Rhinolophus ferrumequinum: one gene and its partners. The protein of the gene in region 3 binds, or shares a complex with, the protein of the main gene of each other region. Links are inferred from orthologs where the notes say so. Each region holds a gene or a part of one and is shown on either strand. Other genes may lie near its edges. The genes, in order: TAF5, TAF10, TAF7 and TAF3.

Evidence for each region.
Region 1: TAF7 (region 3) and TAF5 share a complex: the UniProt entries of both Homo sapiens proteins name them as parts of the TFIID basal transcription factor complex. The link is inferred for Rhinolophus ferrumequinum from reciprocal best matches to the Homo sapiens genes TAF7 and TAF5.
Region 2: TAF7 (region 3) and TAF10 share a complex: the UniProt entries of both Homo sapiens proteins name them as parts of the TFIID basal transcription factor complex. The link is inferred for Rhinolophus ferrumequinum from reciprocal best matches to the Homo sapiens genes TAF7 and TAF10.
Region 4: TAF7 (region 3) and TAF3 share a complex: the UniProt entries of both Homo sapiens proteins name them as parts of the TFIID basal transcription factor complex. The link is inferred for Rhinolophus ferrumequinum from reciprocal best matches to the Homo sapiens genes TAF7 and TAF3.

What each region holds. Positions count from the first base shown.
Region 1 is NC_046299.1:21,905,910-21,913,903, reverse strand, and holds the start of TAF5 (transcription initiation factor TFIID subunit 5), read left to right. Parts: upstream 1-4,983; 5' UTR 4,984-5,321; coding exon 5,322-5,880; intron 5,881-7,867; coding exon 7,868-7,994. UniProt on the Homo sapiens protein: The TFIID basal transcription factor complex plays a major role in the initiation of RNA polymerase II (Pol II)-dependent transcription.
Region 2 is NC_046294.1:45,221,438-45,227,619, forward strand, and holds TAF10 (transcription initiation factor TFIID subunit 10), read left to right. Parts: upstream 1-4,267; 5' UTR 4,268-4,290; coding exon 4,291-4,522; intron 4,523-4,662; coding exon 4,663-4,817; intron 4,818-5,065; coding exon 5,066-5,130; intron 5,131-5,218; coding exon 5,219-5,333; intron 5,334-5,511; coding exon 5,512-5,601; 3' UTR 5,602-5,678; downstream 5,679-6,182. Other genes in the region: TPP1 (tripeptidyl-peptidase 1), read left to right, coding at 956-1,076, 1,172-1,330, 1,496-1,621, 1,748-1,888; ILK (integrin-linked protein kinase), read right to left, coding at 5,911-6,060. UniProt on the Homo sapiens protein: The TFIID basal transcription factor complex plays a major role in the initiation of RNA polymerase II (Pol II)-dependent transcription.
Region 3 is NC_046307.1:15,636,523-15,643,619, reverse strand, and holds TAF7 (transcription initiation factor TFIID subunit 7), read left to right. Parts: upstream 1-4,097; 5' UTR 4,098-4,739; coding exon 4,740-5,789; 3' UTR 5,790-6,669; downstream 6,670-7,097. UniProt on the Homo sapiens protein: The TFIID basal transcription factor complex plays a major role in the initiation of RNA polymerase II (Pol II)-dependent transcription.
Region 4 is NW_022680355.1:13,386,740-13,394,489, forward strand, and holds the start of TAF3 (transcription initiation factor TFIID subunit 3), read left to right. Parts: upstream 1-4,726; 5' UTR 4,727-4,929; coding exon 4,930-5,095; intron 5,096-7,750. UniProt on the Homo sapiens protein: The TFIID basal transcription factor complex plays a major role in the initiation of RNA polymerase II (Pol II)-dependent transcription.

The DNA of each region.
Region 1 (7,994 bases), on a different chromosome or scaffold from region 3:
TAGACTTCTTTTTCTCAGAGACATGGGTTAGCAATTCTGAAGCTACTTTCTGTACATTCTAAGATTGAGCAAATAAGTAAATACATTATAAAAGCCAGATTTATCACTATTGGAAAAGAGTGTTAGAACTATGGAAAAGAGACAGGAAAGGATAAACTCTGCTTTGTTGGATTGGAATTGGAGATATCCAAGGTGACCTCAGGTAAATGTATATAGGTAAATGTATATACATGTGTGTAAGTAAACATACATAAATACGTGTATTTCTCAGCTTTGTCCACTGAGAGGGCCTAGAAGAAATGACACACCTAGCACCCTGTCCTTGGCTTCTAATGCACTAAAAGAAACCCAGTTTCCATGGAGGAATGGCTGATTCCAGGTTTGCAGCAGGAAAAAAATAAGAGGGACTATAACCTCTTATTGTGCTAGAAAGTAAGGAAGTACTCAGAGAATAAAGTGTCATGTCAAAAGAACACAGCAGCCAGTTTGAAGGAGCTCCTACTAGTTAAATCTGGGACAAATTGTACATCAAAATAAAAATTAGGACAGTAACAGATGGTAATTTATTGAATATATTCAGTCCATGCTGATATAACTAAATAAATGGAGAGAAGGGAAAGCTCCTCCTTAAATTAGAAAGCCAACTCATAAATGTAGAAGGAATAATGGAATTAGAAAATCACTATTTGTTAACCATCATATGAATAATTGATACAGGCCAAGAATCATCAATGGATGTTAAAACTGGTGAGCTAAAGTTTGAGAGGTAATAGGATATTTACATAGTTTCAAACTATCTGGCATTCACCACTTTAAGCAAATTATCAAAGTTTACATTGATAGCAATGGGAGTAATCCACAGCCACATGCTTCCTGATACGACGCACTGAGAACTCAGCATCACTTCTGTACTATTCCTGCCAAAGATGAGACAGATTGAACCTGAATCAATCCATGAGGAAACATGAGACAAATTCAAATTGAAGAACATTCTCTATAAATTAACTGGCCTGTACTCTTCAAAAATATATGTTATAAAATACAAAAAAAAGAGGGGTGGGGAAACATTAAAAAAATACAAAAAAGGGAGGATTCAAATTAGACTATTGAGATACGACAACTGCATGCAATGAATAATCTTGGATTTTTCTTTGCTATAAAGGATATTGTTGAGACAGAAAAATCTGAGTAAGGTCTGTAGACAATTATTGAGACAAGAGTATTGTATCAATGTTTATTTATTGATTTAGGTAATTGTCCTTTGGTTATGTAAGAAAATGTCATTTTGAGAAAATGCATACTGAAGTATTTAGTGGTAAAGGGACATCATGCCTGTAAATAACTACTCTTAGTAATGCAGAAAAAACACGTGCATATACATTTTTTTCTGAACTACTAAGAGTAAGTTGAGTTGAACTAAGTCTGAACTCTATATCTGTATCTACATAGAGATCTCTATATCAGTGTATCTATCTATTTATCTATCTATCTATCTACAGAGAGGCAGAGACGGAGAGCCAGAGAAGGATAAAGCATATGTAGTAAATGTATCGTTTGGGGAATGTGGATGATGGGTATCTGGGAATTCTTTGTACTTTCTTGCAACTTTCTTGTAAATCTGAAATTGTCGATTAAAAATTTTTTTTAAATAAATTAAACCTGGAAAGAATAATAAAAATGAAGTAGAGGAGGAAGTAGTGGCAATAGAAGAGTCGAGGAGTGGCCAGAGGTAGAAGGAAAACAAGGAAAAGTTTGGGTCCCAAGATTCAGGAGAAAAGGTAATTTCAAGAACATGTGAGCAAAGTGGTCCCTGGATTAGCCTTTAAATATGGATGTTCCTCAGAATTCTATTCTAGAACTTCTTCATTTCTTGCTCTATGCAATATCTTGGGTAATCTTATTCACTCACATGACTTCAATTACCATCTATATGCTGATTTCCAAATCAATGTCTCTGGCCCCGATTTTTCTCCTTAAAATGCTTAGAAGCATTTTAACCCATAAAATGCTTCTGCCTATGGCCAGCAAAACTTGCATGACCTCTAGGGACCTCAAATTCAACATGTCAAAAACCAAATTCATAGTTTTCTTCCCTAACCAGGTTATTCTCAGTCATCCTTTCAGTCACCGTCGCCAAATACCGAGAAATTATTCTCACAATAAACTCTGCCCTTGTCTCCCAAATTTAAATATGAAGTCCTGTGTCTCCAAAACCTATATATTTTATGCATTTATTCACATGTCCTCCTCCAACTATACTTCGTTAATAATAATTACTCTAGTCTCGGGATTTCCAACTGCAGGTCAATTTAAAATTAATTAAACTAAAATCAAGCTACCAGTGTGAGTTTAAATTCAGAAACTAAACAACATGGTAAACTCTCACTGGTGGCTGGTTCCTCCATCACACCCAACCCGAGAGATGACACAGAAATTAATAGATTGGTAAAAACTTTGAAAACCCTGAGGGCGGGGAGAGGGGTGGTGTGTGTGTGTGTGTGTGTGTGTGTGTGTGCGTGCGTGTGCGCGCTGGCAAACAGGTAATGATGAAGCCCAGATAGTGATACCACAGGCTTTCCCCCTTTTGGGGCATCCCTCACCTTCTCCCTCTGGGTAAATGTATCAGCCAAGGTACATGATACCTCCAGGGAAATACAAATTAATGAAGAAAAGTAATGAGATATAGAAAAAAGTGCAACTCCCATTAAAGTAAGAAAAACTGAACAACCTAAAGTAAATGTAACAGGTTAAATGCATCAGATGGAAAGTTAATTTAAACAATACATATCCTCAAAGGAAAAAAAATGAGTTCATATTGTATACATCAGGGTTTTTCACCCTTAGCATTATTGACATTTTGAGACAGAAAATTCTTTGTTGTGGTGGGGCTGGGGCTGTCTTGTGCATTGTGGGAAGTTTAGCAGCACCCCTAGCTTCTACCCTCTAGATGCCAGTAGCACAACCCTGAGTTGTGACAACCAAAAGTGTATCCAGACATTGCCAAATGTCCCCCCAGGATATGTGGGGGGACAAAATCACCCAACTGGGTTACTTGAAGCAATAAATCATGAACTAGTTTAACATACTATGAAAAATATAATGTTTGAAGTAAATAACTCAATAAATGGGTTGAGTAGTAGTATGGATGTAGGCCAAGAATCAATTACTGCGCTGAAAAATCAGGTTGAGGAACTCTTCTAGGAGGGATCTGGGAAAGGTAAACATGAAAATACTGAAGTTAACAGACCTAGAGTATATAACTATAGTATCTACATCCTAAGAATCCAAGAAGAAGGGGAAAATGGAGGGAGGAAATATTTGTAGATATAATGCTTACTAAATGCCTAGCACTGAAAAAAAAAATCTCAGATTGAAGGGGTACATAAGAGGCAAATCAGGATAGACAGAAAAAAAGTCTAATCTTGGATCCATTAGTGTGAAATGAAAGAACATCAAAGAGAAACACCCAGAAAAAGCAGCTCTCCTATGAAGTAACGAGATACAGATCGACACTGGACCTCTTAAAGCATCCCAAAAAGAAAGTAGGAGGAGAATGGGAAAGATCATAAAAGAAGGGGAAGAGAGAATCAAAAATTAATAGTGGACCTTATAGGCATTCAATAAATTTACCTCTATTGAGGTGTAACAGGAAAAACCACTGTACTTAGAGTAAATTACCTCTGCTGAAGTCCCAACCCAGATTTTTTGGAAAGAGAAAAAGCCAGTAATAGGTGGCTCCCACAGAGGGAAAGCGAGTGGCTGTACTTTTGTGAGTCCAGTATCAGGGCTTCAGTTGTACAGGTGGATCCAGTTCCCAGGACCTGATTTGAGAGACTAATGTATGCATCAGAATATTAATATACTATTCATAATGGGGTAAAACATCTTTCCAGGGAATAGTAAACAAACCTGGGCTTGTTATTCATGGTATCTCTTATCTATCTACTAAGTGCTCAGTTAATTACCAATTATCAACTACTGAATACTGAATCAGAAAAAAATAATTGAATGATCCTGAGGAAAAGGATGAATTCTTCCCAGGTCATAAGCATGTACCATCAGATTCAGGTTCTGTCAGTGCTAAGTAAATGCTAATCAGTTCTTGCTCATCTTTCCCCAACTCTCACCCATATTTCATCTTACTTTAGCTATCCAATTAGATTAGTTTTATATTTTAGTCATGAGATTACCTTGGATATCATGATTGGACTTTCATAACAAACATTTACAGAACACCTTTTAAGGTTAAGTAAGAACAACCAGTAGCTATTTATTACGTATTAGGTATCGTATGTACATTATATCATTTAATCCGCATACAACTTTTTGAGGTTAAGTACTATTATTATCCCTATTTTAGAAATTGGGCAACTGGGATAGAGTGAGTTAAGTAACTTGCTTCAGGTCATTCAGCTAGTAATCAGGATCAAAGAAAGCTAGTAAGACCTCAAAACTAATAACCTGAATAAGTGCTAGATCTTCCCCATGTCCCAGGCTCACTTTTCTTGTCTTCACCTATCCCACAGAGTTGTGAGATTCAAGTGAGATAAAATATGCAGCAGGGTTTTTATAATCTATGAAGCATACTGCAAAATGGCATATACTATTTTAAAATACACAATTAAAATGCAGAAATTTTACAATTTGTAATAATGGATAACACAGTATGAATACAGAATGTACACATTTCACAATCACAAAATTCAGATATTTAGAAACTTTTTATTGAAATATAGCATATATGCTGTTAAGTTCACAAAGCTTAAGCACGCAGCTCGATTAATTTTTACAAAAGTAAAAATTGGAACAACAAAGAAAGTTACCACCATTTAGATCAAAATACAAAACATTACCAGTATCTCAGAAGCCTCCCTTTGGCAAATGGTATATGCTTTTGAGTTAAAGACCTGGATTCAAATCTTGAAACGTTCACTTTCTTGTTGAGTGACTTGGCAAGTTATTTAACCTCTTTGGGTCTCCGTTGAGCCACCTGTAAAGTGAGGACAACAGTACCTTATAAAATTGTTGAATTAAAAGTCATATAATGTAAAACGTCTATCACAGTGCCTGAATATAGCAGTTGGTTTGCAATAAGTGGTAATTATTTTCAGGCAAATGCAATAGGCGGTCGCCATCTCCAATTTCCTGCTTTCTGTCACTCACTTTTGAAAGTTGCTCTCGCTCGTGTTCTTTTTCTCCTTCTTCTCGCCCCTCCCACTGCCGTAAATCGCCTTCCGGAGCTGTCGTGAAATGCTCATCCCCGCCCTCCATGTGGCGAAAACGCAATCGCACTTGACGGCGCGAGGTGGCTCAGCCGCAAGATGGCGGCGCTGGCGGAGGAGCAGACGGAGGTGGCGGTCAAGTTAGAGCCCGAGGGACCGCCGACGCTGCTACCTCCGCAGGCTGGGGACGGCGCTGGCGAGGGTGGCGGCAGCACGACCAACAACGGCCCCAACAGCGGCGGTGGGAACGTTGCGGCGTCGTCGTCGGCCGGCCGGGATGGTGGGACCCCCAAACCCTCGGTGGCTGTCTCCGCCGTTGCCCCGGCGGGGGCGGCCCCGGTGCCCGCCACTGCTCCGGAGGCGGGCGCTTCCCACGACCGACAGACTCTGCTGGCCGTGCTGCAGTTCCTACGGCAGAGCAACCTCCGCGAGGCCGAAGAAGCTCTGCGCCGGGAGGCCCGGCTGCTGGAGGAGGCAGTGGCGGGCACCGGAGCCCCGGGAGATGGGGACGGCGCCGGCACAGAGGCGGCTAGCGCGCTTCTTAGCCGGGTCACAGCCTCGGCTCCCGGTCCTGCCGCCCCAGACCCTCCGGGAACCGGCGCTTCGGGAGCTGCCGCCGTCTCGGGCTCAGCAACAGGTCCTGTGGCTCCGGGGAAAGGTGAGCCGCGAGGTCCCGGGAAGACAGGGCCGGGACGAAGGGGAGCAAGCCGGGAATGCCGAGGCTGGCAGGCCTGCACCTCTGCGGGCTTGTTTTGAATTTCCTGGGCCCGCCTCTAGGACCACATGCCCGCCCCTTTCTCTAGTGCGCCGGCTGCGCAGTCAAACCCTATTCCTAGAGCTGTCAGTTCCAGCGAGAGGCTGAGAGCTGTTGAGCAGAAGGATGTATGCGGAAGGTGGGCGCGGAGAGGCGCGGACCCTTAGTGTTTCGGTCCCTTTTCGCTTATTTGGGTTCTTGAGCTTTGGACAGGTCTACATTAGCACTAACAATATTTGTACAGTTCTGTACAAATATTTTAGGTTCTATATCTTAATTCTCACAATTCCACTATTTTAGAGATGAGAAAACAGACTGAGAAAGGCCAAAGGACTTGCTTTGGACCACACAGCCACGGAGTGATGGAACGTAGTGTAGCCAGTATGTCTCAGAATGTGGGCTAACTACCACGAGTGTTGACGCTTTGGGGGGAATGCAGATTCCTGGGCATCATTTCAGACTTAGTGAATCAGAGCTTTTAGAAGCTGAGCCTGGGGATCTGCATTTTTGAGTAAATGCTTCCGAGGGGTATTGATGTATGCCCAAGTTTGAGAACCATTTGTTTAGGAATAAGCATTGGACAGACCTGGGTTCAGATTGTGTCTCTGTTGCTTTTACGTGGTTGATGCTGATTAAGTTATTCTTCCAAAATTGAGTTTTTTTCCTCGATTAAATGGGTTATTGTGAGACTTAGATATAATATATGTAAAATGACTGGTATTGAAAAGTTTATGCCTAGGTGTCCATTCCTGACACCTGAGCACCCCCTGATCCCCTTTTCCTAGCAACTGTTGTCACAAAGTCTGTGCATTAAAATTTATACACAATATAAGGTCTCAAAGGTGATCCTGAGCCAATAATGAATGTTTGTTGAATTAAATTATCCAGTACAGAGCCTCTAGCTAATCTGTATTTATGAGACCTAATCTTTGCAGCATTGCCAGAAGTGAAGAATAAATACATAGCGTTGTAACCCATACATAGAAGTGTGTAAAAATGATTGAGAGGAATCTTTCCCTGAATGCTGAATTTTGTGAATGAACTAAAACATGGGTGAAGTATATATGTTAGTCATTTTGTTATAATCTGTTCAGAAACCTGACCTATATTTTAGATCATATCTGAGAAACCAGTAAGGATGGAAAGAAAATGCCATCAGAGTAATCGAAAGAATTTATATCATTTGTGCAGTAAGGAACATAACAGTACTTTAATTGCAACTTAAAAATTCCAACAATAAAACCCTGATTCGATTGATACATATAGCATTGTAATATTGCTATATTACAAATAAATACTCGTATTTTCTGACTTGAAATGGTGGTTCTGGAAATTGTTTTAAGCATATCTTTTGGAAATATAAATAAGGCACAAACTTCCCACCCTTAAAATGCTTACATTTTATAAGGAATGAGAGATGTACATAAATGAAGGTGATATAGGATAGGAGGTTACAGTAAAGTTACAAAGTACTTAGGTAGCTCAGAGAACTGGAAATGTTGTTTCAGGGCATGGCTTGATGGTGGTGGTGGGTGCCGTTTGCATTGACCCTTGAGAGGAGATGGACATAGTTGTTTGATTTGCTCATCCATGTTTTGTACAATTTGTCTTTAAAATAAGGTAGCTCCAGAAAAAAATAAATGAATCTCTTGTTATTGATTTGAAAATTTTATTTTAAGATATGGACAAGATGAAGGAGTTTTGGATGGGTCACTGAAACAAAGTGAAAATGCTATTAAAAGATTATGTGATTGTGTTGGGGAAGAAAGTTTGAGAGGAGAGGGACAAACATTTGAGAAACAATTCACCTGTGGACCTTAGCAAAACAGCCGTAGTCACTTGGTGCATCTCAGGTCATTTTCTTGAAAGTTGTTTTTCATTTTTTAAACAGTTGGGAGTGTAGCTGTGGAAGACCAGCCAGATGTCAGTGCTGTGCTGTCAGCTTACAACCAACAAGGAGACCCCACAATGTATGAAGAATACTATAGTGGACTGAAACACTTCATTGAATGTTCCTT
Region 2 (6,182 bases), on a different chromosome or scaffold from region 3:
CTTAGTCCCCAGGCATTCTGGTGGAAGATTTGGTGGGTGTTCTGTAGGGAAAATGTGCAGTCACCTCAGGCCACCCTTGAGGGCTCAAAACCTTTTACTCATCCCCATGTGCATGCTTCCCCACAGATTCCAGACCCTCCCGCAAGACCCAAGCCAGACTCACCCATCTCTACATGTCGCATCCAGCACAACACGGGCAGTGAGGGTGTGAGAAGGGGCGGCTTTGGGTTAAGTTTTTAAGAAAGAAACAAACAGAGACTTAATGCAGTTTAAATCTCAGAAGGCCAGGGGTCTCACAGTTCTGAAAGACTGGAGCCCAGATATGAGCCGACTGGAGGTTTTTATTGATAAGTATACAAGGGAGTAGCAGTGTTTTTGGCACAGTCTGTGAGACTCACTTATCACGTTATAGAAACAACCCAAACCAATTATGTTGATCTTCAAACAGCCGAAGCAGAAAGTCCTTGAGGTGAGGTATGCAACTCCTTTAAGGGACATATATCACATGGTGAAATTGTTTCACAGAGCTGAGCAGAGAGAGCTTAATCTTATCACTCTCAAGACTTTTCTCCCAATTAGGTGAGAGGGAAAAGTCAGAGTCAGCAGCGGCTTTTCCCAGGCAGGGGGGAGTGGGGCAAGTCCCCTTCCCAGATCTTTCTAAAGCAGCTCATTGGGGTCTCCATGGGGTTCCGCCTAGCTTGAGTTGTCCCCCCCGCCCCGTGGGGAATCTTACTCGTCATTGGCTGCAAACCCTCTTTTGGAGACTAGATAGAGAGACATGAGCTATAAAACATTGAGATAAATAACGTCCCAAAAAGGCACAGTCTCACAGACTTTTCTTTCCATAAGGAAAGACATGGGGGGACAGTCTGCTAGGCTGCTGTGTGACAACATCTACACATTTTGGAAGTCCCCTTGGGGCCCCTATAATCTGAGTGCTGTTTTCTGCCCTCAGCCCCTATGTCACCACAGTGGGAGGCACATCCTTCCAGAATCCTTTTCGAGTCACAAGTGAGATTGTTGACTATATCAGTGGTGGTGGCTTCAGCAATGTGTTCCCACGCCCTTCATACCAGGTACGTGTAGTGTAGGTTTGTGTGGATAGATGGAGGTGAGGAAGGGTGGGAATCCTCAGTTCAGGAGACAGTACTCACTCAACAATGCCTTTCAGGAGGAAGCTGTAACCCAGTTCCTGAGATCCAGCCCCCACATGCCACCATCCAGTTACTTCAATGCCAGTGGCCGTGCCTACCCAGATGTAGCTGCACTCTCTGATGGCTACTGGGTGGTCAGCAACCGTGTGCCCATTCCATGGGTGTCTGGCACCTCGGTGAGAATCAGCCTGGCTCCCAACCTTTAGGAACTACCTTCAGCCTCTACCCCTAAGTCCTTGCACCCAGAAGCCCTAACTCCTCAGGGACCTCTGATCCTTTCAAATATCCTTCCCCAAAAGTGCAGTCATTCTGAACCCCTAACTTCTACTTGCACCTTGCAGGCCTCTACTCCAGTGTTTGGAGGGCTTCTGTCCCTGATAAATGAACACAGAATCCTCAGTGGCCGCCCCCCTCTTGGCTTTCTCAACCCAAGGCTCTACCAGCAGCATGGGGCAGGACTTTTTGATGTGAGTGTGGAAGGGATGGGTGTGGACATTTTCATAAGAGCATAGGATGGGACTATTGGGTGCGGGGGTGTAGTCTGTTAGTACTGGTACCAGCAGGCCCAGATCTGATGCTCACCCTCTCCCTAGGTCATCCGTGGCTGCCATGAGTCCTGTCTGAATGAAGAGGTGCAGGGTCAGGGTTTCTGTTCTGGCCCTGGCTGGGATCCTGTGACAGGCTGGGGAACACCCAACTTCCCAGCTCTGCTGAAGACATTAATCAACCCCTGACCCTTTCCTGTCGGGAGAGTGGGCCTGTCTCCTGCCCCACAGCTTGTGGCTTGTTTCCTTATTCTGCACTATTGGAAATCCTGCTGAACCCTCACCTGTTGACTGCTGAGAGCTTATCCCCCTAACCTTGAAGTGCTATGAGCATGACTTGACTCCCAACCCTAACCCTGTTCCATCATACTCAGGTCTCCCTACTCCCGCCTCAGGTTTCTCAATAGATGCTATCACCAGTGCTGTTTGAATGCATCCCTCAACACTGCCCACCCCCGCACCATGTCTTCTTTCTCTGCAACCAGGCTTTTCCAAAGTGTTGTCTACACTGTCTGTGCACTCATGAATTTTACTTCATGTTCACTCCTCAATTCATTGCACTGAGACTTCTGCTCTCACTTTTGTACTTTCCTCCCCTGACATTGAAAAACAATGGCCTCCCTGCTGCTTCCTCCAGTGCACACTTCCCAATCTTTGCTTTATGGCCTTCTTTCATAGTTGCCCACTCCCTCTCCTTCCGTAGCTTCCAGGGTTTAACTTCTTTTCTGACCACCCCCTTCGTCCTCTTTTTCTGCTTCCTCATTGAATATTGGTGTACTTCATTTCTCCATCCTCAGTCTTTTGCTCTTCTCACTCTACCTATTGCCCCTGGAACAAATCCGTCATGATTGGCATCCACAGCCATCATCATCTCACTACGTCAGACTTTCTGTCCAACAGTGATTGATACTTCAAAAGGAAGATATGTGATACTTGACACTTATCTCTCTCCCAATCTCAATCTGTTCTCTTCTTTTTGGTAAATGATACTATGCTTCTTCCAACCAAACCAGAGACCTGGGTGTCATTCTAGACTCCTATTTCCTTCATCGCCCACCACCACCACCACCTTCAATTAACAAGTCCTACTGACTTGCCTCTTAAACACATCTTTATGCACAGGTCTGCCGGTTATATTTCTTATGTACATGTAGAACTCATTTACTTATCTTTATCTCCACTACTACATTAGCTTAGAGCCGTATTCTTTCTCCTCTGAATTTTAAGGCCCTTGCAAAAAAATTACCTTATTTCCTGCCCTTCCCTAAACCATCTTCCAGAATAAAATGAAAATCTCATCAGGTCATTTATTTAAGATCCTTCAAAGATTACCCGGTAAAGTTCAGGCTTTTTGTCATGACTCACAAACCTTATTTCTTCCTTGCTATTTGTTCCTGAGTAACAAATTGTTTATCCTCCCCTGCTTTCCTCCCATATACATTCTTTCACTTGTGCTCAAGATATTCTGTGCCCTTAACACTACCCCTAACTCCTCTTTGCTTGGTTGATTTCCAGGATTCTTTCCAGACTCAGCTCAGAATCCATTATATTCCCTTGTGAACCTTTTGGCTCCCTACTGGTTGCTTTTGGTATAGCACAAAAATCCTAGATTTTTGAAACCAAACGTTTGATTCTTGTTTCTGATACAGACTAGGGGAGAGCCTTAGGGGCCAGTAAGTTGATCTCCCTGAGCCTTTTCCTCACTTGTTAAGTGGGGATATCGATACCTGCCTCTCATAATTATCAGTGAATAATTAAATGGAATAATGGTGATAAGAGTGCCTGACACACAGAAGTAGGCAGCAGGTGTTAGTTCCCTTTGTCCCTTGCACTGCACACTTTGTCTACCTCTAGTATTGTAACTCCTACATAGTATTGAAATTGCCAGTTGACCTGTTTGCCTCCCTTTCCAAGACAGTTGGTGCCTAGAGGACTAGAGTCTTGTTTTACTTAAACTTTGCATTCGCAGGCCCTAGCTCAGGTTTGGCAAATAGGAATTAAATAAATGTTTGCTACATTGAAAACCTCACTCTTTCCCTCGCTGTGATTTTTGCATATGTGTTTTTACTCAGGCTGAAACACCTCCCTCCGCATCTACAGCAGCACTGGGCGCGCTCCTGCAGACTGCACTTCTCCGGGCAGCTGGCGGGGAGCGGGGCGCTTTCCACCTCCACTACGAACCTTTAAAAGGCTGAATAAGGGAACTGGAAAGCATGCAGGCTGGCAGATGGTCCAACCCTGTCGGACCAATGAGCCAAAAGAGAGGTCTTTAGGTGGCAGGCTGAAAGAGGGTCCCTGATCCGCAGAAGAGTCCTCGACATTCCAGGATTCCCAGCCCTGCAGAACCACCGACGAGTACGGAGCGGTGGGAGGTGGAACGTCCGCGGCCAGCGCGGTTCTCCAAGGTTTGGTCTCCGCCCCTCGGTCTGTGTCATCTAGCGGGCATACAGGCAACCAGGAGGAGAGAAGCCTAGGGGAGAGAGCGGTCATGGCGTGGGAGGGGCAAGCGCGAGGAGTGACGTCACTCGGGTGTGTGCGTAACGTGAGCGGAAGCGGAAGCGGTTCTGTTCGCCGCCTCTCCCACCGGCTAGATGAGCTGCAGCGGCTCCGGCGCGGACCCCGAGGCGGCGCCAGCCTCCGCCGCCTCGGCCCCGGGCCCTGCACCCGCGGTCTCGGCCCCCGCCGTGCTGCCCGCCGGCACCGCTGCGGAGAATAAGGCCAGCCCCGCGGGGACAGCAGGAGGGCCTGGGGCTGGAGCCGCGGCAGGGGGCACGGGACCCGTGGCAGCGCGGGCCGGGGAGCCGGCCGACCGGCGCGGGGCGGGTGAGGGCCGGGACGGGTGAGGGTGAGGGCAACGTGTTTCTCGGGGCTCCTCGGCGGGGGAGGGCAGAGGGTATAAGGCAGACCTAGCTGAGGCCCTGCGCCTTCCACCTCCGTGTCTCAGTTTGCTGGTTCTCCTCCAGCTGCGGTGTCGGCAGGCGGCGCGGCGCCCCCGGAGGGGGCCATGTCTAACGGGGTTTATGTGTTGCCGAGTGCGGCCAACGGAGACGTGAAGCCGGTGGTGTCCAGCACGCCTCTGGTGGACTTCCTGATGCAGCTGGAGGATTACACGCCTACGGTGGGCTTCCTGCCAGAACAAGGCTATTGGCCCGCTGTCACGCCAATTTTCCTCCACACCACCTGGATTTCCAGTGTCGTCTTCTTGTGTTTCCCTCCCATACTTGCTCTTGTGACTTATCCCCTCTGCCCACCCAAACTGTAAGCTTCCTGCGAGTGTCAGGCCTGTCCTCCATTTCCCTCACCTTTTCACTCTCAGCCTGGCAGTGCATAGGGCTTACACTAATAGCTGTCTAATTGATCTCTCAGATTCCAGATGCAGTGACTGGTTACTACCTGAACCGCGCTGGCTTTGAGGCCTCGGACCCTCGCATGTGAGTAAATTCTGGGCAAGTTCGAGAGTTGGGTGCTTGTGTGGATTTGCTGTCCATTTCCTTAGGTTTTTTTTTTCTCTCTCTCTAGAATTCGGCTCATCTCCCTAGCTGCCCAAAAATTCATCTCAGATATTGCCAATGATGCACTACAGCACTGCAAAATGAAGGGCACAGCCTCGGGCAGCTCCCGAAGCAAGAGCAAGGTGTGAGGGGAGGCTCATTGAATCAGTAATTACCTCCCAGCAGCGGAGGCTTAATTTATCCTGAAACCCCTTTCGGGAAACAGCCCTAGGGGAGGTGAAAGACCTATTCAGGGTCACCCACCTGGGATTGAAATCTGGGATTCCTGTGTTTAGCTGGTGCTCTTCCCTCTTCCCTCAGGACCGCAAGTACACTCTAACCATGGAGGACTTGACCCCTGCCCTCAGCGAGTATGGCATCAATGTGAAGAAACCACACTACTTCACCTGAGCCATCCAATCTAAATGTACTTGTCTGTCCTCTTGTCCCCACACCAGCCTGTTTTCATAATAAACTTTATTGTGACAGGCAGGGCTGATCCCTCCCATGCTGGGAGACACCATGTGGCAAGTGACAAAGCTGAGCCCAGCCCCTTTTGGGGCCACAGCGGTAGGGATGGGCACAGGGGACGGGCCCCATGGCTGGGGTAGTACCATGACTGGAGGCAGGGGAGGCAACCAGAGGCCCACAGCTTTGGGGAAACATAGTCCCCTAACAGTGTCCCCACACCTCTGGAGTTTAGGCAAGGACTTTCCAGTCCTACTTGTCCTGCATCTTCTCCAGGATGGGCACAATCATGTCAAACTTGGGCCGCTTAGCAGGGTCTTCATTCATGCAGATCTTCATGAGCTTACACACATGGGGGGAAATGCCTGGTGGGATGGTTGGCCGAAGGCCTTCCAGTGCCACCTGTAAATGTAGGGAAAAACAAGGTGGGTCTCAGCACTCCAATCTCATGTAGAGAGATCTCTAGCTCTCAGGACAGGATTACTATATATTTGAACAAATGTGGGAAAATTCCAGCCCCACTA
Region 3 (7,097 bases):
TTTGGAATTACATATATACTATCCTATTCCCCCAAATAATTAGTTCTTTCATGGATACTATTGGTTGCCTTTATAGACTGAATATTTATTTGTGTCTCCCCAGAATTCATATGTTGAAACCTAATTCCCAAAGTGCTGGTATTTGGAAGTAAAGTTTTTGGGGAGTTGATTAGGTCATGAGGGTTGAGTCCTCATGAATAGCATTAATGCCCTTGTAAAAGAGGCTGCTGGGAGCTCCCTCACCCCTTCCACTATGTAAGGTTACAGTGAAAAGACTGTTGTCTATGAACATGGAAGCCTGCCCTTACCAGACAACAAATCTGCTAGTGCCTTTATCTTGGACATCTCAGACTACAGAATTGAGAAATAAATTCTGTTGTTTACAAGCCACCCAGTTTATGGTATTCTGTAACAGCAGCCCAAATGGACTATGACAGTTACCCATGCCCTTTCCTTTCTTCTAACACTTCCTTTTTAGTTTAGGGGCCCACCCTCTGGGTACCTAAGGCAGAGCTGAATCTATTCATAGCTGTAACATGTTCTCAGAGATCTAAACCAATAATGGTAATCTCCTTCCACTTGTCAATGTTTAGTTGGGAATATAGGCTTAAAATAATAAGCTTAAGGCAGGGTTTCTCAACCTTGATACTACTTTGAGCAGATAACTCTTTGTGTGGGTGGGGAGAATAGGTGTTCTGTGTAATTGTAGGATATTTAGCAACATCCCTTGCCTCCATCCACTACATGCCAGAAGACCCCACCCCCACAGTTCTAACAATAAAAAATGTCACCAGACATTACCAATATCACCCCTTTGCCACAATTTTGAAAATAAAAATGGTAACTATTATGGATCCAGGGATAGGTATGTGACCTAAGTTAGTCCAATCAGATCAAAAGACAGATTTTGGTTTGGGGGAACCACTCTCTGAACTTACCATGGACAAGGATGGAAGTTCCCCAGCTATGCTGGCAGGTTTCTTGTCACCACAGATTTTGGAAGTTTACAAGGAGATGAGGACAAAACTGAAAAATAATAGAAAAAGTATAAATAAATGCTCATTCTCTAAAATTAGGAAGAAAAAAACAATTTGTGCCAGGCCATGATTCTATCATACCTAGAAGCAGCCATACTTCTAGAACTGCACTGTCCAATACAGTAACCACCAGCCACATGCAGCCACTGAGCACTTGAAATGTGGCTAGTCCAAACTGAGATGTGCTGTGTGTGCAAAATACACACCAGATTTGAAGATTAGTACAAAATAAGAATGTAAAATATATCATTAATAATTTCTACCTTGATATGTTGAAATGTTATTTTTGATGATTAAGTTAAATAAAATGGTATTGAAATTAATTTCACTTGCATCTTTTTGCCATTTTAATGTGGCTACTAATATACCATATATGGCTTTCATCTGAGGTTCATATTATATTTCTATTGGACAGAGCTACACTAGACTACCTGGTTTTTGAGATACTAGATTTTTCTTCTTATTTAAACCAATGTAAATTATGATGGTGTCTTTTCTATGGAAAGTATCATACTTGATGCTATATTTTAACTATATTAACTAGATTTTAGTTAACCTGCTTTTAACTGTTTATACACCAATATAGCAGTATGTAAGAGTACTTTTGGGGGGCATATGCTATTTCTTCTCCCTTATAATTTTCTATCTCCAAAATATAAGCAGGGCTTTTCCCACCACCAATAATTTTACAGCATTATCCTGGTTTTGATACTCCTTTATCATAGGCAGGAAGCGTTTGGAGGTCATTACCATGTGGGGAATTTATTGCTCTCCCCAAATCTTTAGTTCACTAGTATCACAGATATTCCAAGGAACAACCACAGAAGTGTAATTCTGTCATCAATTCAGAGTGTTTATGTATGTCTATTGATTTTAAAAAGAGAACAACTGGATTATCAACAGACATTAAGGTAATTGTAATGTGACAGAGACCTTAGCTTTAGGATCACTGTAATTTTCCCTCATACAAATCCCGCATTTAGAAAATGTGTTAAACTCCAAAGCAGAAAATATATTTCAGGATAAGGAGGTACATACTTTAGGGGAAACTTTAATCCTTTTAATTATCTCTGACCATCTTCCATTTAAAGGTTTACTAAATAAAATACATCATATTTTGGCAAATCAGAATTGCATCTGTTATCTCAGGTTACTTTCTGTGACAGGATATTTGAGCATCATAAAACTATAGGCAATTAAAGTGCAAAGCAACATTTGGATTATTTTCATGTATAAGCATAGAATCACATTTTATATAGTCAAATAAAGCACTATGCAGAAGCTAGCATGTTAAACTCTTCTATCTATAAAATAAGTAAAATCAGGTATAATTAAGGGACCATCAGTATAATTAAGCACAATAAAGAATTTCACCTTTGAAAAGGGGGAAATAGATCATCCTGGAAATTATAGATGATATATCAGCCAACTTTCTTCAACACATTTTGGAACAAAGAGAACTAATGTAGTTATCTGAAAAAGCATAATTTCAACTTCAAACTTAACATTAAAAAAACTGGTGCCAGGCCATTTTAATTTTAATTTCCTCCCAAGATACACAGTCTAATTAAACCAAAGAGGACACACTATTAGCAAAGCTCTCTGCTCATAACAATTGGCACCGTCCTTGACGAGAGGAAATGTATATGAAGTGGCTTTATCTCATTTTAAGGTGACATAGAATGTATTTTATCTCACAGATTATTATAGACTATATTTATGCTCCTTTTAGATGGATCAATTGGTTCATTCAATTAGCAAATATTTTTTTGTATATCCCCCATGTTTTGATACTAGGCACCGGGACATGATGAACAAGATAGAAGACTCCTGATGATCAGAGAGCTTCCAGTCTGAGGGAGTGAGGGAGACAATACATAAAGAAATGAAGTGAACTTTTAGAAATGTTAATCACATTTTAATAAGAGTTCTCTTAAATTTAGATGCAGTTGGTAATAGAGGATAGAAATTAAAATTTTAATGACCTTGATGCTCTACCAGGACGATTCCATTAAAAAATAAATGGAAATGAGCAGGAATCAGTGGAAGCTGTTATATATATTAACACCGGTAGTTAGGCTTAAATACTATAGATACGTGCTGATAAATATCTGCCTACATAAATAGAGGAGACAAGCACAAAACAGTTATCAAAATAGCAGAGTGGAATGAAAACAATTCCTAACTAATTTAAAATTTACAAGCGAGTGGCAGGGAGTAATACTTCAATTATATTCTACCGCAATCAGACCATTTGTCTATTAGACGACTCTGTCCTAAATGAACATATGCCTCTTGAAGAACACTTACTTCTCTGTTTACATTTATATCTACGTCAAACATACTATTAAAACGAGGAATCACCCTTATTCCCTTGGGGTCCTTCACAACAGAAACTGACCCTGAGGCATGAGTCCACTCCAAGCATTTTCATAACCAACAAAATATAGACTTAGAATTATATAGTGGGCAGCATGTCCTCCTCACTCCACTGATTTGGATACTTTCAAATCCACTGCATGGTTAGTTATAAATTCTTGTATTCACTCGAAATTGGATATACCCTGGGGAGCATCGGAGGTGTTTCCTGAAGCAAAGACTCTTTCCGCACAGACGCCCTATACCCGACGATCACCGGGAAGCCTAGGAGCTATCCGGCCCCAGGGCGATCCGGTAAAAGTTCTGGCTTAGCGGCGGGGCGGGGAGGTGGGTGCGGGAAAATCTAGGTCTTTCTTGGAACCGGTGTCTCTAAATATTTTCAAAGCAATAGCTCTTTAAGGAAAATTATTCCCATCGCCTAAAACCAAGTTCTCGCGAGCAGACGGACACCTGATATCGCAATTGCGCGTTGCGCCTGCGCGTGCTGGGGCAGACCGCATTTCCGCTCGAGTCGTGCTGTCACTCACAGCCGTCTCCCGCCCCGCGCCGTGACGTACTACTTCCTTCTCCGCTAGGTCTGCTTCCCCTGACGGTCCCGGGAGCTGAGGAGCTGTAGGCGGAGCTGCCGAGTTGCGGAGCTGCCGAGTTGCTGAGTTGCGGAGTCTGGCGCTCAGAGCTACGGATCTCGGTGAGATTTCGCGCTGCCCGTTCTGGGTCATTTCATTGATAATCAGCAGCGGATCGCTTGCCAAGAGCCGGGAGAAACAAAGGAGTCAGGAAGGAGACTTTAGGCCCCCGGCCGCCATTCTCCCAGTGGCTTTCTCTTTCGCTCGCTCCTGTCCGGAGAACCTCGGTTTATAATTGTTACTGGACTGTAAGTATCCGAGGCGAAGAGAGCTCACTGCACCCCGCTTTTTGACTATCTTTGTTCGGGGAGAGTTTGTGAATTGGGAGTGTCTTCTGGGCCTTTACTTTCTGTGCCGAAAATCATTCCGCAGAAGCCGCCATTTGCTTTTCTGCTTGCTTGCTCTGTATTGTCCGGCAGCGCCATCTAGTGGTTGGAACTTGGCATTGCAGCTAATTTATTCAAAAGGACTTAACTGAATAATCCAGTGCCAGTAACAACTGGTATTCAGTCACAGCATATTTAAAAAGACTTGGTGCTTAATTAAAAAAAAACCAGTAGACTCTAAGCTGCTGTTCTTCTTAGAACTCTTTGTAATTGAATTTTTCAATTCATAACAAACTGGTCTTTCTAACTTGATATAGTTGGAACGTTTTAGTGCGACAAGTGTTCATTTGAGAAGTGAGTCACAAAGAAACATGAGTAAGAGCAAAGATGATGCTCCTCACGAATTAGAGAGCCAGTTTATCTTACGTCTGCCTCCGGAATATGCATCTACTGTGAGGCGGGCAGTACAGTCTGGCCATGTCAACCTGAAGGACAGACTGACAATTGAGTTACACCCTGATGGGCGTCATGGAATCGTCAGAGTGGACCGGGTCCCACTGGCCTCAAAATTGGTAGATCTGCCATGTGTTATGGAAAGTTTGAAAACCATTGATAAAAAAACCTTTTACAAGACAGCTGATATTTGTCAGATGCTTGTATCCACAGTTGATGGTGATCTCTATCCTCCAGTGGAGGAACCAGTTGCTGCTGCTGATCCCAAAGCAAGCAAAAAAAAAGATAAGGACAAAGAGAAAAAGTTTATATGGAACCATGGAATCACTCTACCTCTAAAAAATGTCAGGAAGAGAAGGTTCCGGAAGACAGCAAAGAAGAAGTATATTGAATCTCCAGATGTGGAAAAAGAAGTGAAGCGGTTGCTTAGTACAGATGCCGAAGCTGTCAGTACTCGTTGGGAAATAATTGCTGAGGATGAAACAAAAGAAACAGAAAATCAAGGCCTTGATATCTCTTCGCCAGGAATGTCAGGCCATAGGCAGGGCCATGACTCATTAGAACATGATGAGCTTCGGGAGATATTCAATGACCTCAGCAGCAGCAGTGAAGATGAAGATGAGACGCAGCATCAAGATGAAGAAGATATAAACATAATTGACACTGAGGAAGATCTGGAAAGACAGCTACGGGACAAGCTAAGTGCTTCAGATGAACAGCACCAAGAAAATGAGGGAACCAATCAGCTGGTTATGGGAATTCAGAAACAGATTGATAACATGAAAGGCAAGCTCCAAGAGACCCAGGACAGGGCAAAACGACAGGAAGATCTCATAATGAAAGTGGAAAACCTGGCTCTCAAGAACAGATTTCAGGCTGTGCTGGATGAACTCAAACAAAAGGAAGACCGAGAAAAGGAGCAGCTTAGCTCTCTGCAAGAAGAGCTAGAATCACTCCTAGAGAAGTGAAAAGAGCTTTGATACTTAAATTCATTCCTTAAAGTGGTCAGCATTAGAAGAAAAATTTTGGTTTCATTACTTGGACTAGATGATAGAACTATATGGTAATTTCTGTTTTTTTCTGCTGCCTTTTATTGAATTTGTCTTAAACGACTAGAAATGTGAATTTCTATCTCATTTGTCTCTCAGAACCACTTTGTTAGGTGTTTATCATGTAGGAAGTAGGAATGTATAGAAAGATACATAATTGTAGGAAAGTTGTAGGATTAGTGGAATGAACAGTTCAAACTTTGTAATCAAAACTTCACTGCAGGACTTTGCTGCTGTTTCTCCATTTGCCAGCAACTGGTTTTGCTAGTTTGTGATGCCATCTAAGATCACTAAGAAGAGTAGTCTAAAGGCAGTTAAGTTAGTTCGCATAATGTTTTCCCATGCAGTAGTTATTTTCCTAGTTATTCAATTTTATACATGTAGAGTTGTAAATCATTTCATAAAATTGTTTTAACACAATAAATAGAAACTAGTTTTCACCTCATAATGAGTCTTGCTGTTTTAGGGATTGTGGGCATCAGATCCTCTTGTGAGGTGGTTTCTTGGTACAGTTTAATTACTGAACAATTTGACCTGTTTGGTAGGGAAAAAAGCAGTTATGTTGGGTTTTAAGAAAAAGATGAATACAGCAAGAGCAAACAAATTGTGAAATAGCTGCATTATGTTAAGTTTCTAATCCACCTGCTGTGTTTGGAGGGTTAATAAACACTAGGTACAGAACCTTCCTAAACAACCCTAACTTTTGTACATGAAGGTCTTATTTAATGTTTTGTGTTTTTTTTTTAAAGCACTGTACTCACCTGCTTGAAATAACTAGAAACAAAACAGAGCAAAGCTTTCAGGTACTTTTCAAAGAATCATTCCATTGGTTTGGATTAAGATTATATTTTTAAATATTTTCAACTTAATTACTGTAATTATTTAGTACTCTGAGAACTGAGATGATTTGTCCGTGTCAGTTCATCAAAATTGTTTATAAAGGTCAGTATTATAATTTCTTATTTCAATATTTCTTAAACATAATTTTCATATTTACATACTCTAAAGATTCTAATATAATGCCTTACTTGAGCTATTTTGGAAGAATCAGTGATAAAATTTACAAAATGCAGAGTTTGGTGCAATTCATTTCTGAGATTGGTTTATAAAGAAAATCTTTGGTTTGAAAATTAACCTCATGGAGCAAACATTTAAAGCCCATTTTAATTAGGTATTTGACAAGAAACATGAGTGGTGAAATGTTAAATTTTCCAGACCTCTCAAGTG
Region 4 (7,750 bases), on a different chromosome or scaffold from region 3:
CTTGAGGACATGTTTAGATACCACTTCTCCAGGCAGGTCGGCCTTCTCAGTCCCCTCAGCTCCTTCCAAACGGCTGGCTGAGTGTCCCTCTTGAGTGCTCACCAATTACAACCCTTATCACATTTTGTCATTATTTGCTTGTCTTTGCACAAGACTGTAAGATCCTAGCAGAAATGTTTTAATTATTGTATCTTCCAAGTTGACGAGTGCCAACACCTAAAAGAGCATAAATAGTTTCTGTATTGAACTGACGATCACTTTTACATAGGTCAGGCAACATTTAATCAGAGCATTCACCCATGTCACATAAGACATACTTTGCAAATACTGACTCAATATTCACCGCAACCCTATAACCTAAGTACTGTTTTAATCTCCACTGATGACCAGACAAAGATTATGGAACTTGCCCGAGGTCACGGCTGATAAGACTGACCTGGGATTCTAACCCAGTTCTCTCCAGTCTATACTCAACCCCTGGTCTCTGCATATAAAACTACCTTCTCTATATGTGGTTGTTGAAGCAATTTGTGTCTCGAGACTTGACTTGGTGATGCGTCTATAAGGAACTAGTAGAAGTACAAAAATTCTAATACTACCATTTCCCCACGCTGAGTACTCCTTTCCTTCATATGATCAGACGGTATTGAAGAAAGTAGGAAAATTGGTAGCGCAATCTTATCCAACAGCAGTTGCACAAAGTTCCCTAAGTTTAAATTGCAAAACATGACAAAAGGGTTTATGACACTGCACAGAACTCATTTCAGTGAAAAATAAGTCAATTTTAAAAATGGGGAATAAATGAGTGGTCAACTTGTCTTTTCACCCATCAGATTGTTAAAGACAGTTTTAGAGAGTAGGGGGAATTGATCTCATGCTGTTAGTACAAGTTTACAATCCTCGAGAGTGATTTGGCAGTGCTATTAAACTTAAAATGTACATAGTTTATCATCAATTCCACTTCTAATAGTCTAAAGAAGTACTCATACAAGTGTGCAAAGACTTGTCCAAGAATGCTCATTCAAGATCATCGTGACATTTCAGAGCAATGGAGGTAAAGACCTAAATGCTGTCAGAGAAAAACGTCACAAGGTTCAGAAATCAAAATGGCTTCAAGCCAAAAAGAGAGGACCCCGGAAATGGATCCGCCAACACCCTGACCTCGACCTTCCAGCCTCCAGAGCTGAGAAAATATAAACCCGTTGTTTTAGCCCCCCAGTCTGTCATGTTGCTATGGCAGCCTGAGCCAACTACACTCCAAGAAAACTGACCAGCTACTTGGCACGTTGACCACCGTGGCCCTGGGCATCCTAGAAACGGCATCCATTTGTTTTGATAAGAATAGGCACATATTCTAGGTACAGATTTGCCTTTTCTACTCAGTATACGTACTGGGTGTTCCACATCAAGCTGTGTCAGACCTAGGGAACCATTTGACAACAAAGGTTGGGAGTGGGCACATGGTTGTGAAATCTGGTCATGTCACCTACCATACCACTCAAGCGGGCAGCCTGGCAGAGCAATGGAATGGCCTTTGAGCAATGGAATGGCACTAGCTCACGGACAATGCCTAGTGAGGATGGGGTGTGGTCCCCAGGATGCCACATACACTTTAAGTCAATGACCTGTCTGTGGTGCTGGGTAGATGACACACGGTGAAAGCTGGAGTTCCATCACTTACCATCACTCCCAGGGACCCGCCTGGGAAACTTCGTCTTGTCTCTGCAACGCTGGCTTCCCCAGGTTGATAGTTTTTATTTCCCAAAGGAGGAATTTTTCCACCAGGGGACACAAGGAGTCCCACTGAAATATCAGCTACAGTTGCCACCTGAACACTTAGGCCAGGAGCTAGCATGCAGAGTAATCGACCCTGATCTTCGGGAAGTCAGGCTGCTGTCACACAATGGGGACAAGGAGGAATGTTTGGTACCCAAGTGATCTAGTTGGGCGCCTCGTGGTACTCTCTCGCCTAATGTCGGTGGTCCCTCGACCTTGAGCTGTTCCTCAAACTCGTACCAAGAAGTGGATCTGAGGGTACAAGGAGTGGACCCTAGTTGAGTGGTTTAAATGTCTGTGTCCTGTCCCCCCCCAAATTCACATGTTGGAACCCTTACTGCAATGTGATGGAGTTAGAAGGTGGTGCCTTTGGGGGTAATGATTAGGTCATGACGGTGGAACCCTCTTGAATGGCACTAATGCTCTTATAAAAGAGATCCCACAGAGCTCCCTAAGGAGGATGCAGCAGAGAGCCCTCACCTGCCCATGCTGGCACCCTGAGCTCGCGTCTCCAGAACTGGGAGAAAAACGTTTGGTTGGTGAGTGACCCAGTCTGTGGTCTTTTGTTCCGGCAGCCTGATCAGACTAGGACTGGACTGAACATTGTAATGCAGTGCTCAGATCCCCTCAGGACTGAAGGACTCCCGCCTCCCCTGGAGTTGCCTCTGCTGCAGAGAGCACTTTTGCCTAAGGTCACATACCGTTTTCAGGGAAGGCCTCACACAAGGACCTAACCAACTCAGGAATATAAAGGTCCAGCCCCCTTGTGCCATCTCAGGACAAATCTGAAGGGTCAGCCCATCTTCAGAGCTCCCTATGGGATTGGCTGACGCCTCCTTCAAAGCGCATTGCAAGCCCCTTCCTTTGCACAGGTGATGATCCCAGGAGCCCTCCTTAATAAACCACCTGTGGGTTGATCTCCAGCTCAGAAATGGCTTCCTGGGGAACTGAACCTGTGAGATATAATTATGTAGAGAAATGTCCTTGTTTGGGGGAGATACATGCTGAAGTATTTCTGGGTTACATGTCATGAAGTTTGCAATTATTTTCAAACTATTCTGGAAAAAAAAGGTAGGGGTGTGTGTGTGTGTGTGTGTGTGTGTGTGTGTGTGTGTGTGTGTAGTAAATATGGCAAAATGTTAATAATTGGTGAATGTAGGTGAAGTGTATACCTGTTTATATTTTTCTGTTTCAGCTTTTCTGTGGGTTTGAAATTTTCCAAAATATGATATTAAGGGGTTAAAACACACACATCATAAATCAAGACGCTCTGATATAGAGATGTAAAAGAAACTTCCAGAAGTACTGAAGAAACAGCAAGACAGTGGGGGTGTATGAGACCCAAGGTAGAAGAGTTTCAAAATTAAGGTAGTGTTCAATATTATCAAATGGCTACAAAATGGTCAAGTAAGGCTAGGAAGGAAGTGGCCCACAGATTTAGCATCCAAAAGGTCCCTAATAATCTTAGGGTCAGAAGGGTTAGTGAAGAAAATGTTATAGGTACCCTGCCACCTAGCACCTTGCTCCTTTCTCTACAGATGGTCATTTAGCTGAAGTACCATATTTTTCTACTGGGTTTTTAAAACTTTATTTTTTTTAAGAAGGGCATAGCTAACAGTGGCCCATAAAGGGATCGAACCAGCAACCTTGGTGCAACCAGCACCATACTCTAACGAACAGAGCTAACCGGCCACCTCGGGTTTTTAAGACTTTTAAAAAATTGAATATCATGTATGTTCAAGGTTCTGGAGTAGTCATAGGGAGGTTATAATGCTCACAATTTATTTGGAGAGGCACAGAAACTCAAATACTAAATGCACTGTGATAGTATAAGACTAGAGAAACTGACAGACGGATACAGAGGAGAGTGATGAAGTTAGAAAGCTACACTCCAGAAGCTTGTAGGAAAGACACACGCACACAGAGGCATATTTAAGAAACAGAGTAAATGAGCCATTGCAACCTGGCTGAATCTGCCTTACCCATGGGATTAGTTTGCAAATTAAAACTAAAAATGTATTCCCAATATTTAAAAATCGAGGTATTTATCACAAAATCCCGATTTCTAGCAAATTGGAAAGACCTGGCAACACTAGGCTGGAACTGCAAAAAGGCTCTAGAGAAGGCAAGTGTCCCTTATAGCCTTAGCCAGCTTCGCTGATTTAAGGTATTTGTTTGGCCTCTGTAAGCAACTGAGTCCTTTTTCCCTTTGACACAGTGGCTGGCGGAGGCCAAATCGGCAAACTGCAGCCTGTTTTTGTAAATAAAGGTTTGCTGTAACCAGGGCATTATAATGAGGTGAGTGAGGCAGGAATTTTTTTTTTTTAGCAGCCGTTCGTACTTTTCAAATATATATAGTGTATTAAAATATTGTTGATCTTGATTAAGTTTTCTGATGCCCCATAAATTCGGCACCGAGTCCAGGGCCTCACTCGCCTCACCCTAGTCCCCGTCCTGTCTGAAGGGCTCTGAATAGCACGCTGAACAGCTTGAACTTGATCTGATCTATACAATGGTAGGCAGCTCAATTTTCTTTTCCTTTTTTTTTTTTTTTGAGTAGAGATAAGACCGGATCAGATCCGCGTTTGGGGTAGCACTTAGGTTCCCAGGCCCCAAATCCCGCTCCCGCACTCACAGTCTTTAGGGTTCCCAACTTCTAACACCTGCATTTTAATTTCATGTCCCGGTTCCCTCTTCTGCCCCTATATCACTGACGGTCCTCTCTCCCTTCCTCTCCAAGTAACCGCACCCCCACCCCCACCCCGGAAGGTCCCAAGCACCTGCCTCTTCGGCTGCCTCCTCCACCTGCACTCTGCGCAGCCTTTTCCTGCGTCCTTCCAGGCGCGAGAGTTGATACCGACACCATCGCTCTGCCTCAACGGGGCGGAGCTTCCTCATCGGCGCGCTCAGTATTCGGCTACTGCTGCCTCGCCCCGGCGACCGTCCAGCGGGAGGCGGAGCGAGTCCAAAATGGCGGCTCTCAGGCTGGCGCGCTCCGTGCTGCTGAGCCTTTGAGGTGGTCGCCAGGGGTCGGGGGGAGACGATTTCCCCGCCACGGGGGCCCTAGAGGATGAATCGGGGGCTCTGCTAAGGTTAGGCGGTGGGGGTGGAGAGAAGTGGCAGCAAGTGCTGCGGTGGAGTCCACGGAGCGGGATGTGCGAGAGTTACTCCAGGTCGTTGTTGAGGGTCTCGGTGGCGCAGATCTGCCAGGCGCTGGGCTGGGACTCGGTGCAACTCAGCGCCTGCCATCTCCTGACGGACGTGCTGCAGCGCTATCTGCAGCAACTGGGACGGGGCTGCCATCGGTACTCTGAGCTCTGTGAGTACCGGGCTGGGTGCGGGAGGGCTGCCTCTGGACAGTCACGAGTGACACCTCCGGTCTCCCCTTCGCTATCCCAGCGTCTGCGAGGTGTTTGTCTTCCACCCCTACCCCGAGATCGGGTATCTTCTCGGCCCCTGATGCCCATCCGCTTCCACTGCCCCTGGAAACTCTAGTCATCCCTTTGGTGCCTCTTCCTTGTCCGCTAACTTCCCGCCTCCAGCCGGGAGCCCTGTCTCCGCTCCCAGCTCCATACCCTCTCACCCTTCTCTGATCTGAAATGTGCATCGGTCTTTCTCATGGTCTCATTTTGTGAACCACCTCCAGAGTGCCTTACAGCCTCTTTTACTTTGGTCCTTTTCCTTCCTTTCCCGCAAACTACTACAACTAGTTGTCACAGGCGCTCCGTCTACCGGCCGTTTCTTACAAAGCTGGCCATTCTTCAGCTCATAACAACACTTACTCGTTGACAGCTCTGCTCCGTTACGGACACTACCTCTTCATTCTGCATCTGTTCATTTCATAGACAGTTCTCTACTTAACTCTTTGCTAAGGCCAACTTTGTCAGTTTCACTTAGATTAACTTTCACTTACATCTCAGCCACCCATTGATTTCCTCCTTTATATTTTTATGTCAGTGATTATCAAAGTGTGGTAGAGGGATTATAGGCAATTTACAAGTTTCCCCAGGTAATCTGGGATATAGTACTTACGGTTTTTAAGTGAACACCTGGTAGTGTCTATAGGTGATGGCATTTAATAATTTGGAATATTTAATAGAAGCCACACATCATGTCATTGATGTGATGCATATGTGTGGAAGGGAAACTACCCTTTATTTAAATTTCAGGTCGTTATTTTTAAGGTGGTAAAGTGGAGAAATGGGTGAAGTGTTTCATTGGATATTTTGTTTTGTTCAAGTGATTCCTAAACTTAAAAATTGAGACCTATGGATACACTTTACTTCTTAGGCCCCAATTTCCATTGTAGTTTCCACAGTGCTGCCGAAATAATCTGTCCATACCACAAATCTGATCGTGTGGTTCTTAAAAATACTTTAGTTGAATGCAGGCAGAAAATCTAAACTCTGAAACAGCACAGTTCCTTTTGTGAGCTAGCATTTTTCTTATCTTCTACCATCCTGCCATCCTAATCTGCAACCATGCTGAGCTGCCTATCTTTTCCCAAGCATTTTAAGCTGTCCATTCCTATGTACATGGTGTTTCTTACTGTCCTTCACCCCCTGGTCCACCAATAGTACTTCTTATATTTTGAGATTCACTTTATCACTTGTTTCAGGAAACTCATGTTATCTGCTCTTGTAAGTCTGTGCATAGTATGTTATTTAACACCTTGGTTTGTAGTCATCTGTGTATATCTGTCACGCTCTCCTATTTCTTCCCCAGGAGACAAATTTATTATATTTATATTCTGTAAGCTAGTATGGTGCCGTAATATATTAGGCACCCAGGAAATATTTGTTGACTAAATGAATGAACTAATAACCCACTACCATGATAACTATTTACTCACTTCACTTTTTGAGTTTTAAAAGTATGTATTTTTTGAATGCTTGATTTCACTGATACTTCTAAGCTAAATTTGAACTGCCCAGGAACTCTCATTCTTGGTTATCCTGAAAGTACACCAACAGCACACGATAGGACTCGCTTGGCTTTTGCTTCTACCCCCACCCTCTGCTGTCCCCACTGTCCTCCTTCATGATCTTTTGAGGTTACTGTTACGGTTATGCATCATCCGGATTATATTTTTGCTACCAAGTTCCCTAAGGATGGATGTTCTGTACGTTTAGGTGATCAGAATAGCCCTGAATAAATAGTTACCTTTCCTGCGTTGTACGCAGAGCCAGGATGTACACTCCAAGTGTGCCCAAGTCATCAAGTGGTCACTGTTGTGAGTTAATGCGAACCCCTTTCCTAATGACCCAATTTCTGTAGTTGATTTTGTTCCTCTTAGTGAGAATGTAATTCTCAGGTCCATTATTCTCCATCGTGATTTGGTGACTTTTTAAAAATATGCTAATTCCTGGTATACTTATTAGTTACAGACTTTTTAGATTCTTTTTTCTTTACTATCCTTGTTTTAACTTCGAATCCTATAACTTCAAATTGCTACTATGCAATCTTGTATTCTATTCCTTTAAATCCTGTTTCTGATAACTAGGTCTTGAATATATAATATATTTGATTCTGAGTTACATATTTGCTTACTGGTTTCTGTCTTTTTAGTAGATATTTTTTGGGTACCACTTAGGAACTAAACACTGTGCTAGGTGTTGGAAACATAAAATTACTTAGGCACAATCCCTGCCCAGAAGGTTTGTATATGGGTGTCACAATGTCAACAAAACCAAACTGATGGTATCTGTCCCTTTTTCAAAAGCTCCCAAGTTAAAGCAAGCATCAGAAGTTACTATTCATTCAACAAATAATGCAATTTTAAATTTGCCTAAGGTAACAATTTGTCAAAGCATTCGGGGGCAGATGTTTCTGTATATGTTGTAATATGTATAAAATATGAGTACGTGAGCTGGAAGCAGGTGTAAATCTTTCAGAATGACACCTCAAGACTGGTACTATAACTTAATTATTGCGTGGTCTAGGCAGTAAATGCAAAAGGAATAAGGTAAAGGAC